Schizosaccharomyces pombe: one gene and its partner. The protein of the gene in region 2 binds, or shares a complex with, the protein of the main gene of each other region. Each region holds a gene or a part of one and is shown on either strand. Other genes may lie near its edges.

Region 1 (4,547 bases), 1.8 Mb from region 2:
AACAGGGAACTGCAGTTGCACCTTCTCTAAGGAAAATACACCTCTTTGCTCCTTTTCGGGATTATCAGCTGTGTATTCCAATTCCGCATCTTCTTGAATATCTGAATCTTCAGAAGAATTAGGATCAATCCAATCCTCGGCCAGACTCATTGTTCAATGGGATTGCACGCGTATCAATAGAAAATGAGATGAATTATTATAATTCCGCTGCCAATATAAATTAATTTACCAATATTTAAAAAAATAATTAATAGTAATTAATTGTTTCCTATTTCGCTAGTTACAGTCGCTACAGATACACACCCTCTATTTTTGGCACATGGATAATGGAGAGTGAGTCATGATGCTAGACTTGCGAAACTAGCATATGAATGAACGAAGTTGCTTAATGGAATAAGTTAATCAAATTGATAGATATTACTAGTTTTTTATTAAAAAAAGCATACATATTTATATGTAAATAAATAAATAAATATATATATATATATATATATATGTATATAGGATTGACTATTCTTTCAATAACTATTGATGCCAAAAAATATATTATGTACCAAAATAACAAAAACATTACGTTAATCATATAAAAGATGATCTAGAATTAAAGATGAATGGTCAAAATGTCGGAAACCGAAAAAGGTGTTTCACACTGCGGACATGTACTTGTTTTATGCTCATAAAAAGGTTCCATACAATTAGAACAAAAGGCATGACCACAGTTTGGAATGAGTTTAGATTTCCAATTAGAAAAGTTGCACACGGAGCATTTTAACATTCCTTTGTATACTTGAGCCTCTTGTGTTTCATATGCCTGGTTTATAAGATGAGACTCTTTCTTATTATACGAAGCTTTTATGGATAAAATAGTATGCTCTTCTTGCAAATGAAACAACTTCTGATGCATGATCATAAGCTTTTCCCCAGATTTTTGAACAGACTCTATAAGATCTTCAAGTTTTTGAGTAAGTTTTGTTTGCTTAACTTGTAAGTGCTTATCTTCTGTTAAAACTTCGACCGAGTGTTTCCCGTAGATTTCCTTTATTTGTTTATAAACTTCCAATTCAGCTTTTAAAGAGGATTCATATTTTGTTAGCGCATGTTCTCGCTCTTGCAACTTCCCTATATAATCATGTTCTTTATTTTCGGCCAGTTTAAGAGTTTTCTTCTCTGTCATAAGAATGTCCCGAGCTTTCATGGCAGCAAAATATTTTTGGGTGGCACGAGCCTTTTCATAATGCATTTCCAAAGCTTTTTTCTCCTTCGTTTCAAGTTCTTCATATTTCTTCAACAAACGAGATTGTGATTGATCAAATGCTGCATACATACTTGGGAGTTCAGCCTCCAAACAACTATTATTTTTTATTAGTTTTTCCAAAGCTGAAGACGCAGAAATTTCTTCTTTTTCATCTAGGACATTATTCATCTCACCAGTCTTAGACCTTTCAATACGATCCCATATGCACAATCGATTTGAATAACCTTCTAGAATTGCAACCCGAGCGTTTGACAAGTTGCTTAATAAAAGCATCATATCGTCAAAAAATAGATTGTTAGTATATTGCATTTGTTGTTTCGCCACTAGAGAGTCTCGTTCGTTACGAATTTGGGTTAAAGATGATTCAAGGGTTTTAATAAGTTGTTGTTTCTCTTTTACACATGCCAATTTTAAATCAATAATATCCTTCTGTCGTTTCGTCCGTTGAGAAATAAAAAACTGAATGTCCTCAAACAATGAAGAGAGGTCCCGATTAATGGATTCGATTTTCTCTTCATTTGAAGAAAGAACCCCCTTCAGCTCTAAATAATGGGGCTCTCTACTCACTCTTTCATCCGTTATACCCATAATGTCGACGTACAATTGTGCTGCACGAGTTGATTTTTGAGAAAGTTCATCCAATTTGGAATTTATATTTGCTTGCATCAAATCAGCTTGAGATTGAAAATTGTTTTTTAGTTTTGAAATATTATCATTATCATTTAAACATCCTTCCCCATTTTCGAGAATTGCTTTTGGTTCCGAAGCAGGGATATCATCAGCGATATTTTCAATACTTCTTTCGGAAGCACTAGTAAGCTGATCTTGCTGCACCCGTTTCCATTCTAATTCAGCTGAATTCAAAGCTTCACGAAAGAAGGAAAGTTTCCTTTTTAGGAGTGCCAACTTAAGTTGGCTAGTACGGTAATTAATCATACTTGTAAAATGAACCTGGCGTTGGTCTATCCATTCATGGACGTTTGGAGTTTCTTTTAATTTAAAAGAACCAAATTTAGCTAACTTTTGTAGAGTAGGTTCATGGGCTTGAAAATAGGAAGCATACTTATTCAAATAGTTTTGCGCATCTTTGATTAAACTGAACTCAGCAAGTGACAAATCTAGTGTCTGTAAATTATCATCAGGTTGATATAAAGAAGCAGTGATTTTCTCTAGTTCTTCAAATGATTGTTCATGATTTTCCAGAGCAGCAGCAACGTAATGATCAAGTTTCAAAACTAGAGATTCCCAATACTCGTATAATTTCTTTTCCAAAACAGTGAGATGCTCATACTCTCTAGATCTTCGCCAAGCTGCTTCCTTTTGAAATAACTCTAAGTCATCTTCTTCTCCGAGGTCTAAACGACGCGTTTCTTTTTCGCTGTGAATAAGACGTCTTCTTTTCCTCGATTCATTCACAACGCTCATTCCACTTCAAAAAAATTCCTTTTCTATTTTATAATTAAAATAAAGTACTTAGGATCAAAATATGTGCTCATTAACATTCACTAAGCCAATTCCTACGGTTAATGAGTTTTTTCAGGTTATCTGTACATGGTAGTCATGTCTCGTTAGTGAGTCAAATAGATTCCTCGCTATAATAATATGTTTCTTTACCTTAGTTATGCCTGTCTTTAAAGTCGCCTACGAAGTAGTAATTTGTATAATATAATTAATATTGGCAATGACAAAATAAACATTAGCTAACGACAATGGCTTCTTCAATTCCTTCGGTGGTTATCTAAATTGCTGAATTTATTCTACTATTCATATTAGTGTAAAGTATTTTCTTGCTTTATCTGTAAACTATAGCTTACATTTCCAGCGTTTTATAATAACTAAGTTTGTTCGAGGCTGACCCTGATTATTTCTACCTTTAGTTAATTTTATATCTTACTCAATCATTGCGACTATAAAACTTTTTACACATATATATTAATCTATTCAGACGGGCTTGCTTGGTTTCGTTGTACAGTTATACCCAGGATATAACCTCTTTATTAAAATATTACTGGTTCATGGACAACAGGCAAATGTTTGTACAAACATATGCGCACTGCCACATAATTTTTGAAATTCATGCAATTGAGTCGAAGTTACAGTCTAAACAGACTCAATGAGCTCGCAAATATTAACCTCACCTACAAGTACGTTTTTTTAAGTAGTAGGGCTTTCCACTAATGTTTTACCAGAAAAATCAATGTCAAGGTTTGCCCCTAAATTTACAGCCCGTAGAGAGAAAGTATCGGACCAAAAAGAGGTTGTTCATGAAGAAAAAAATCAACCCCTCACAGGAAACGAAGTAGAAACATCCGCTCAGCTGTCTCGTGATACTGCCAATGCTGATATTTCTAGTCCGGTTGTGCAAACAGTAGTTCACAAAGAGGCAACTGAAAATCCCACAGCTTCATCCTATAGAAAAGATGATTCAGTGAAACAAAATGAAAAACTTTTGCATTCAAATCCTACTTTTAAAATTTCTAAGCCAACGGTTCTTGAGCAGCCGTTAAATGCTATTGAGCATTTGTCGCCTGAAACCGATTTATCCTCTTCAGCCGAACAGCAATTTATGAAGGAATTAGATTTGTTTTTTGATGAGAACATTCCCCTTTCTCAGCTCAGTGCTGTTAGTGACGGAAAGGCGGATTCTCCGGCTACAAAAAAGTCTCGCCGTTCATATAGAGGTACGTAAATAAAGGGTTAATCTAAAATGCATTATTTAATAACATCATAGAATCTTCTTTGAAAAGAAAAAGTCAATTGATATTGGAAAACGTGGGTACCGACGAGAAAATCATTAACATAAGTGAAACCAAAATGTCTGCTTTATGTGATGATCCTGGAATTGGCCGCAAAAGTCAACGATTTATCGAATTAGAAAAAATGCTTTTTGAGGAAAAACGAGCAAAGAGGATTAAAAAACAAGGAGCAAGTACTGCAAGCTCTAGTCGAGAAGCGTCTTTAGATTCTACCATCAAACAGCCTTTGAGTGCCAGTCTTCTAGAATCAAGCGAACCGAAAGAGAAAGAAGAAATAGTAGGAAGTTTGGAAGAAGAGGGTACGGATGAGTCTGCTTCTCTCGAAGATAGTCTCTCTCACCCAACAAAGTCTATTCTTGATCAGTTAGCAGATAAAATGGAAGTTGATGGTTTGAATAACAACTCCAATTACTCTGCAACTCCTCGTACGCGAGTTGTTAATGGCCAAATTGTTCTGGATGAAACCTCACTAGAAGTCGACCGTCATGAACGTGATTTTGTACCAGCAGAGGAACGCGAATACGTTGAAGAAAATT
Region 2 (5,766 bases):
AGAATTTTATGAATTATTACATACTTTGCTTGTTCGTTTTCGCAACCATTGTTCTGATTATCTCTCTGGTATGTTTCATTTCCATTTTTTCACTGTTTCCCCAGCTTACCCTTTATAGATTTGTGCAGAACGGCTGTTCTCAAAGAATACAAACATGTCAACGAGGATACTGAAGATGTCGATGATACTGTTCGAGTAAAGCTACTTCACGACGATGTAACGTACCCTCAATTTATTAAATTCCTCAAGCAAAAAAATCCATCACTTGAAGGGTTAAATGAGCTTTGTCGAATGGAGAATAAGCGTTTATTACAATATGAAGATCGTGCGATTACGTCCGAAGTTAAACTTCCGGTATCGGTTTTATCCAAAGATTCCGACCTAGTGAACTCGGTTTCTTATCTTCATAACTCCATGGAATGGTTTCTTCAGCGCTGTTTTTCAAGATTTATGAACGGTTCGCGAAGAATGAACGTTTTGCAACAAAACCAAGCTAATTTCGGTGGTGACTTTTTACCAATTGATAATTTGTTGGGTAATAATTCGGATTTAATGAAGGGGTATGTTACTGTATGTATTGAACTTTATACTGATTTTTATAAAAGTGCATATAAAGAAGTCTTTGATTCTTTACAGAGGCTCCAATTCGATGCTTTACTGCTAATCCGAATGGAAGTTCGGTTACAGTACATTCATAGTATTAATCAAAGTGTAAACCTTCCTGACTATGTTGTCGAGTACCGCGGAAGACCAGATGCTTCGATAATGGCTCTCAACTCTACTATTGTGACGACGAATTTGAAACTCGAAACCTGTTTGAATGAATGGGAACGAAGGTAAATAACAAATGAATTCCTTATATTGATTTGCTAACTTTTTATAGGTTTGTATTCCAAGGTCTGAGTGAACTGGTTGATTCATCGCTATACTCTATCTTTTACAAAATAGAATCAATGAATAGAGGCAGCTGTCTTCAGATGCTGAAAAATATGTCAGCAATGATTCAGATTCTTAAGACGGTTAAGGAAATTCATGGCGACGTTGAATTTCCTAAATCTTCTAGAGTCTTTGGAATATACCAAAATGGTGCCAAGAAAATTATCGAGCACTTCATTGCTGCCCCCAAAAAGGAACTTTTGCCTGACGTTAAACAGATGGTCCGAATTTATTACCAGCGATTAATGAAAGATGCAAAAAGAAACGGAAGGGACGATCTTTATCGGCAGTATCAGAAAAAGATTGGCTCGGTTTTAACTCAGTTCGACAACACTGTGGGTGGTGCGAGAAAAAATCCTTAACCGTATAATATAGAATTTTAATTATAATGACGAGTAATGATTTTATAATAATAAATTTATTAACTAAAAACATAGATGCATTGGATAGTTTAAAAACTACGTGACCTAGTTTCAAAGATTATATTAAGGAAAATGATTTGTTATATATACAGCGTTTTCCTGAAAGACATAATTTACACAAATAAAACATATTCTTCAAAGATGTATCGGAATAACATCAGAAGCACCAAATCCACGACCGCAAATCGGGCATCTGCGTTGCCGTGTTTCAATCCGTTTTTGTATGCATTGGTAACAAAAGCCATGACCACAGAGAGAAATAATTCGATCTTTCCAGCGCTCGAAGTTACAAACTGAACACTTACACATGGCCCTAAAAGTTTTTAACTCTTCAGCTGACGTTGATACCCCAGTATCCTTTAACTTTCGCTTCTCTTTTTCATGCTCTTCATCTTGCTTGGAAAGTATATCTATAGAAGATGATAAATCTGAGCATTGAAATTCAAGGTCTGTTAATGTAGCATTATTTTTATCCATAAATTGCTGTAAATAAGACACCTTTTCTTCCAGGTTTTGAATAGTTGATTTTTGAGATGACTTTTTGACTTGAAACGTTGTTGATTGTTTTATAGAGTTATTTCGAACCGATGATAGACGGGCTAGCTGATCTTCAAACTCTATTATTCTATGGACAGCAGTGTCTTGGCTATTTAACATTTTTGAGATAATTTCGTTGGTCTTCTGGTACTTCTGGCGCAGTAACTTTACTTCAGCATGAAGACTATCTGTAGACTTCATGGTCAGAAAATATTTTTGCTCCGCCTTTTCCTTTTCGACACTAAATTTGGTTATCAATTCTTGATAATGGGAGTGGCTACTTTTCACAGTTTGCTGTTTTACCAACCTAAATGCTTTTTCAGTAGAAGCCAACTCTTTAGAAAGGTAAGTTGACAGATCTTTTTGTAACTCCAAATCGTTAAGGTCTACGAGCCGGATTTTGTTTGCAGCTTCACGGGTAGCCACCGCTTTTTTCTTTTCCAATACCATTGTCTCTAAATTCGCAAGTTCATCTAACTTGTCTTTGTAGACCTTCTCTTTTTGCTTTTTAGCTTCCAACTTCTTTTCAAGGGATAAGCTTAATTCAGTCTTTGCGTTATTAATTCTTTTTTCATCGTTTTGCATAACAGATATTTGATGATCAAGATCGTTTATTAACGGCTGATAGGAAGATTCAAAAACACCGTTAAAATTCTTTGACTGTTGCGACAATACATTTATTTCGTGAGAACATTCGGACAATAAGTGCTCTAATACGCGTAACTGCTCAGATGTCATAGAAACAGCTTCTTTAAGTGCTAAAAAGGAAGAGTATTTTTTCAAGTTTGTAGTTTCGACGTTGTTTAATGCGTTTTCTCGTTCCATAATTAATTTATCCATTTCATTAACGTTCGAATCCAAAATTTTAAGGCTTTGTGAGCGAGACTCCATTAAACCATTTTGTTGGTCTTGAAGCCTGGATAATTGTTGCAGTTGAGTACGTTGTTCAACCGTGCTAACTTTCTTTTCTTCATCTTTCCCCTTAGAGGAGGTGGTTGCTTCCTCTTTCACTTTAGTAGACTGGGGTCTCACTGATTCATTAATGCATTGCAAAGTAAAACTAGACGAGCGATCTGGTAGTTTTATAATTGAATGAAGCTGAGACCGAGTGGTATCCAATTCATCTAAAATCTTGTCAATATCCAAATTAATGGTGTTTAATTTCTCAGTAAGGGCAGAGTCATCAATTGATAAAACTGAAAAAGGATCTCTGGAGACCGAATTTGTGCTTGAGTCAACAGTAGACAAGAGTTTTTGAATGATGCTCAAGGCTTTAGTTTTATTATTTTTCACAGCGTCATTGAAGTATGAAAGCTCCGGGAATTTCTCCAAAATCGAAAAAACACCTTCACTCTCGAAGTCCTTCAGCTCATTGCCTTGAAACACAACGCTAAACTGCTGAAGTATTTCAGGCCACCAAGAGACCAAAGTAGCTAAAACTTTTAATTTCTCTTCTGCTAAATTTTGAAGTCCCTCTATTTTACTTTCTAACTCATCAAATTGAATGCTCCTCACTCTTACATCCTTTAATAAGTCTTCTTTAGAGACTTCCTTTAACAGAGTTAGCGACATGTCTTAACATTCGAATGCCTAAAGGCTCAACACGTTAACATACCTGAATATCATCATCTTGTATTTCTACATCTTCAAGTTCTCTTTTCTGGCCTAAGATTGTGGGGGCATCTGGTTTACCATTCTGATACATTCTCGAAAGTCGTATACATCAACCTATCAATATAAATTTCCTTTTTTTCAGAACAATTTGTTTTTTAACGAAAAAAGAAAACAGCCAAAACCTAAAAGACAGACTGTATTTTTCTTATACTAAACGTAATAACGCGTAATGAATAAGCAAGTTATAGATACGCGTCTTTACAGATCTATTTCAAATTCTCCTTCTTAGTTGAAACTTGCCGTATTGAAAATATGCAATTCGAAGCGAATTAAGTTAATTGCCATTCAATACAATAAAATGGGTAAAAGTGAAGTGGTAGAGGGCAGACACGAGTTTACGATCTATTTACTCAGTCACTAAACTACTTTAGTGAAAAATTGTCGTATTTGAAGAAATTCGAGTTAACTATCCATCTGGTATCCACTTTAACGAAATGTAAAATTGCGGTGAGTTTTCCTTGTGATCTATTATATTGCAACACACAGGTTGTATAAGTAGCAACTGAGTATAGGTATTGTATTAACTGGGTTATAATGTTACCTATCACTAGTATAGCTCATAACTGAACTGAGGAACGAGGTTCAGTTGTAACGCTATTTATAAATGGCTGTTATCAACGGGTATTTATGTACATAGACGAATAGTTACCTGTGATTATCAACAAGCGGATCTTAACTAGTATTTCAACATATGACATATAGTGATACACTACGTTGCGTATCACTATATGTCACATGTTCTAATTATATATCGTACCATGTATGATACGATATGGAGATTAATCTTAATGATAATCTATTCAGATCTATATTATCTGAATACTATAAATAGAGCTACCACTGAACTGAGGAACGAGGTTCAGTTATGAGCTATACTAGTGATAGGTAACATTATAACCCAGTTAATACAATACCTATACTCAGTTGCTACTTATACAACCTGTGTATTGTAATATAATAGATCACAAGGAAAACTCACCGCAGTTCTACGTATCCTTAAATCAGATACCAAACTGCGTAGCTTACACGTAATTACGATAACAAACCATCGTTCTAAACCACAATATTCTATTATGCTGCTCATTATTTTGTAAACATTAAATTTTGTTTGAATTGAACCATTAAACAGAAGGGAAAAATGATTATTAAGCTTGATTAAATTAAGAATCAAGATGAAGGAGAAATGAATGTAACAACGACAATGAAATTGTGAATTTAACAAGGTGGAACAACGAGTTTTCCGATTTCATTAGTTGATTTAAAGTTGTCGTAAACAAGTTAAACCATTATTGTTTGTAGCGTAGAGTACCATTAAAAAAGACAAATAATTAGACTCGCATACATTATAAATAAAGACTTCGGTCCTCAATGCACATTATCCAACATCGTAGAATGCATTGGTTGAAAATCTTTGGTAATTGAAAGAATAAGTTAAGCATATATTCCATAAACTTATAGTGAAAGAGGATGATTAAAGAAAGTTGGTGCTAATTTTTTAAAAAACGCCGCAGCTTCTCTGCATTGGTGATTTTGGTAAAGAGGTTTTCCAACTGTAGCGACAACTACATTAATAAAGCAATTAGACTTCGCTTTCGGCCTCCGTTTCTTCCAAGGGAATGTCATTATTATCGTTGGCACCTCCAATCGCATTTGCTATACCTCCTAGTCGGGTAAGTAAAAAATCATTCATACAGTTGGTTGAATACACATACCTAGGAAAGAAGCTATACCATTCCTGATAAATTTGGGCATCCTTTTGAGAGCACCTGGACATTCTGATACGGTTAGAGTAAATTACAGGAATATTAAACAAACCCATTTCGTAAAAGAAAAGAAAATTTCCTATAACAAAGAGTGAAGAGGCTTCAATTTCGTAGCCTGTCCCGTCGATATGTTTATCAAATAAATGCATCAAACCTTTCTGTACAATAACGACACAACTTTGTACACCCAGTACTTGAAACAAACCAGAAAACATATGCTTGAGTGTCCAAAATGGAAGACGAACTGCGTGTTAGCGGTCAGTAATGGTAACTCCATAACTTCACATACCATATAGTAAAAATAAAAGTAAAGCAGCTGAAATACTGCATGTAGAACAGATGAGAGCCTTGTCTAAGTTCAAATTACCGAATTTGGCGCGAAGAAAAAGTGTATAGCAAATGACTACCCATAATAGCCAAATTATTACTACCCA

The links. The genes of interacting proteins can lie anywhere in the genome.
Region 1: brl2 (region 2) and brl1 share a complex: the UniProt entries of both Schizosaccharomyces pombe proteins name them as parts of the histone H2B ubiquitin ligase complex.

The regions. Positions count from the first base shown.
Region 1 is NC_003421.2:2,238,108-2,242,654, reverse strand, and holds brl1 (histone H2B-K119 ubiquitin ligase complex (HULC) subunit, ubiquitin-protein ligase E3 Brl1), read right to left. Parts: upstream 2,809-4,547; 5' UTR 2,681-2,808; coding exon 602-2,680; 3' UTR 501-601; downstream 1-500. Other genes in the region: pep3 (ubiquitin-protein ligase E3), read right to left, coding at 1-150; transcription factor TFIIIB complex subunit Bdp1, read left to right, coding at 3,369-3,399, 3,445-3,936, 3,987-4,547. UniProt on the Schizosaccharomyces pombe protein: E3 ubiquitin-protein ligase which belongs to the histone H2B ubiquitin ligase complex (HULC) which mediates monoubiquitination of histone H2B to form H2BK123ub1.
Region 2 is NC_003421.2:487,902-493,667, reverse strand, and holds brl2 (histone H2B-K119 ubiquitin ligase complex (HULC) subunit, ubiquitin-protein ligase E3 Brl2), read right to left. Parts: upstream 3,888-5,766; 5' UTR 3,601-3,887; coding exon 3,511-3,600; exon of another isoform or gene 3,447-3,510; coding exon 1,494-3,446; 3' UTR 1,299-1,493; coding exon of another isoform or gene 884-1,298; 3' UTR 837-883; coding exon of another isoform or gene 606-836; 3' UTR 561-605; downstream 1-560. Other genes in the region: sec8 (exocyst complex subunit Exo4), read left to right, coding at 1-68, 119-560, 606-836, 884-1,298; wtf antidote-like meiotic drive suppressor Wtf9, read right to left, coding at 5,149-5,231, 5,282-5,344, 5,385-5,576, 5,622-5,766. UniProt on the Schizosaccharomyces pombe protein: E3 ubiquitin-protein ligase which belongs to the histone H2B ubiquitin ligase complex (HULC) which mediates monoubiquitination of histone H2B to form H2BK123ub1.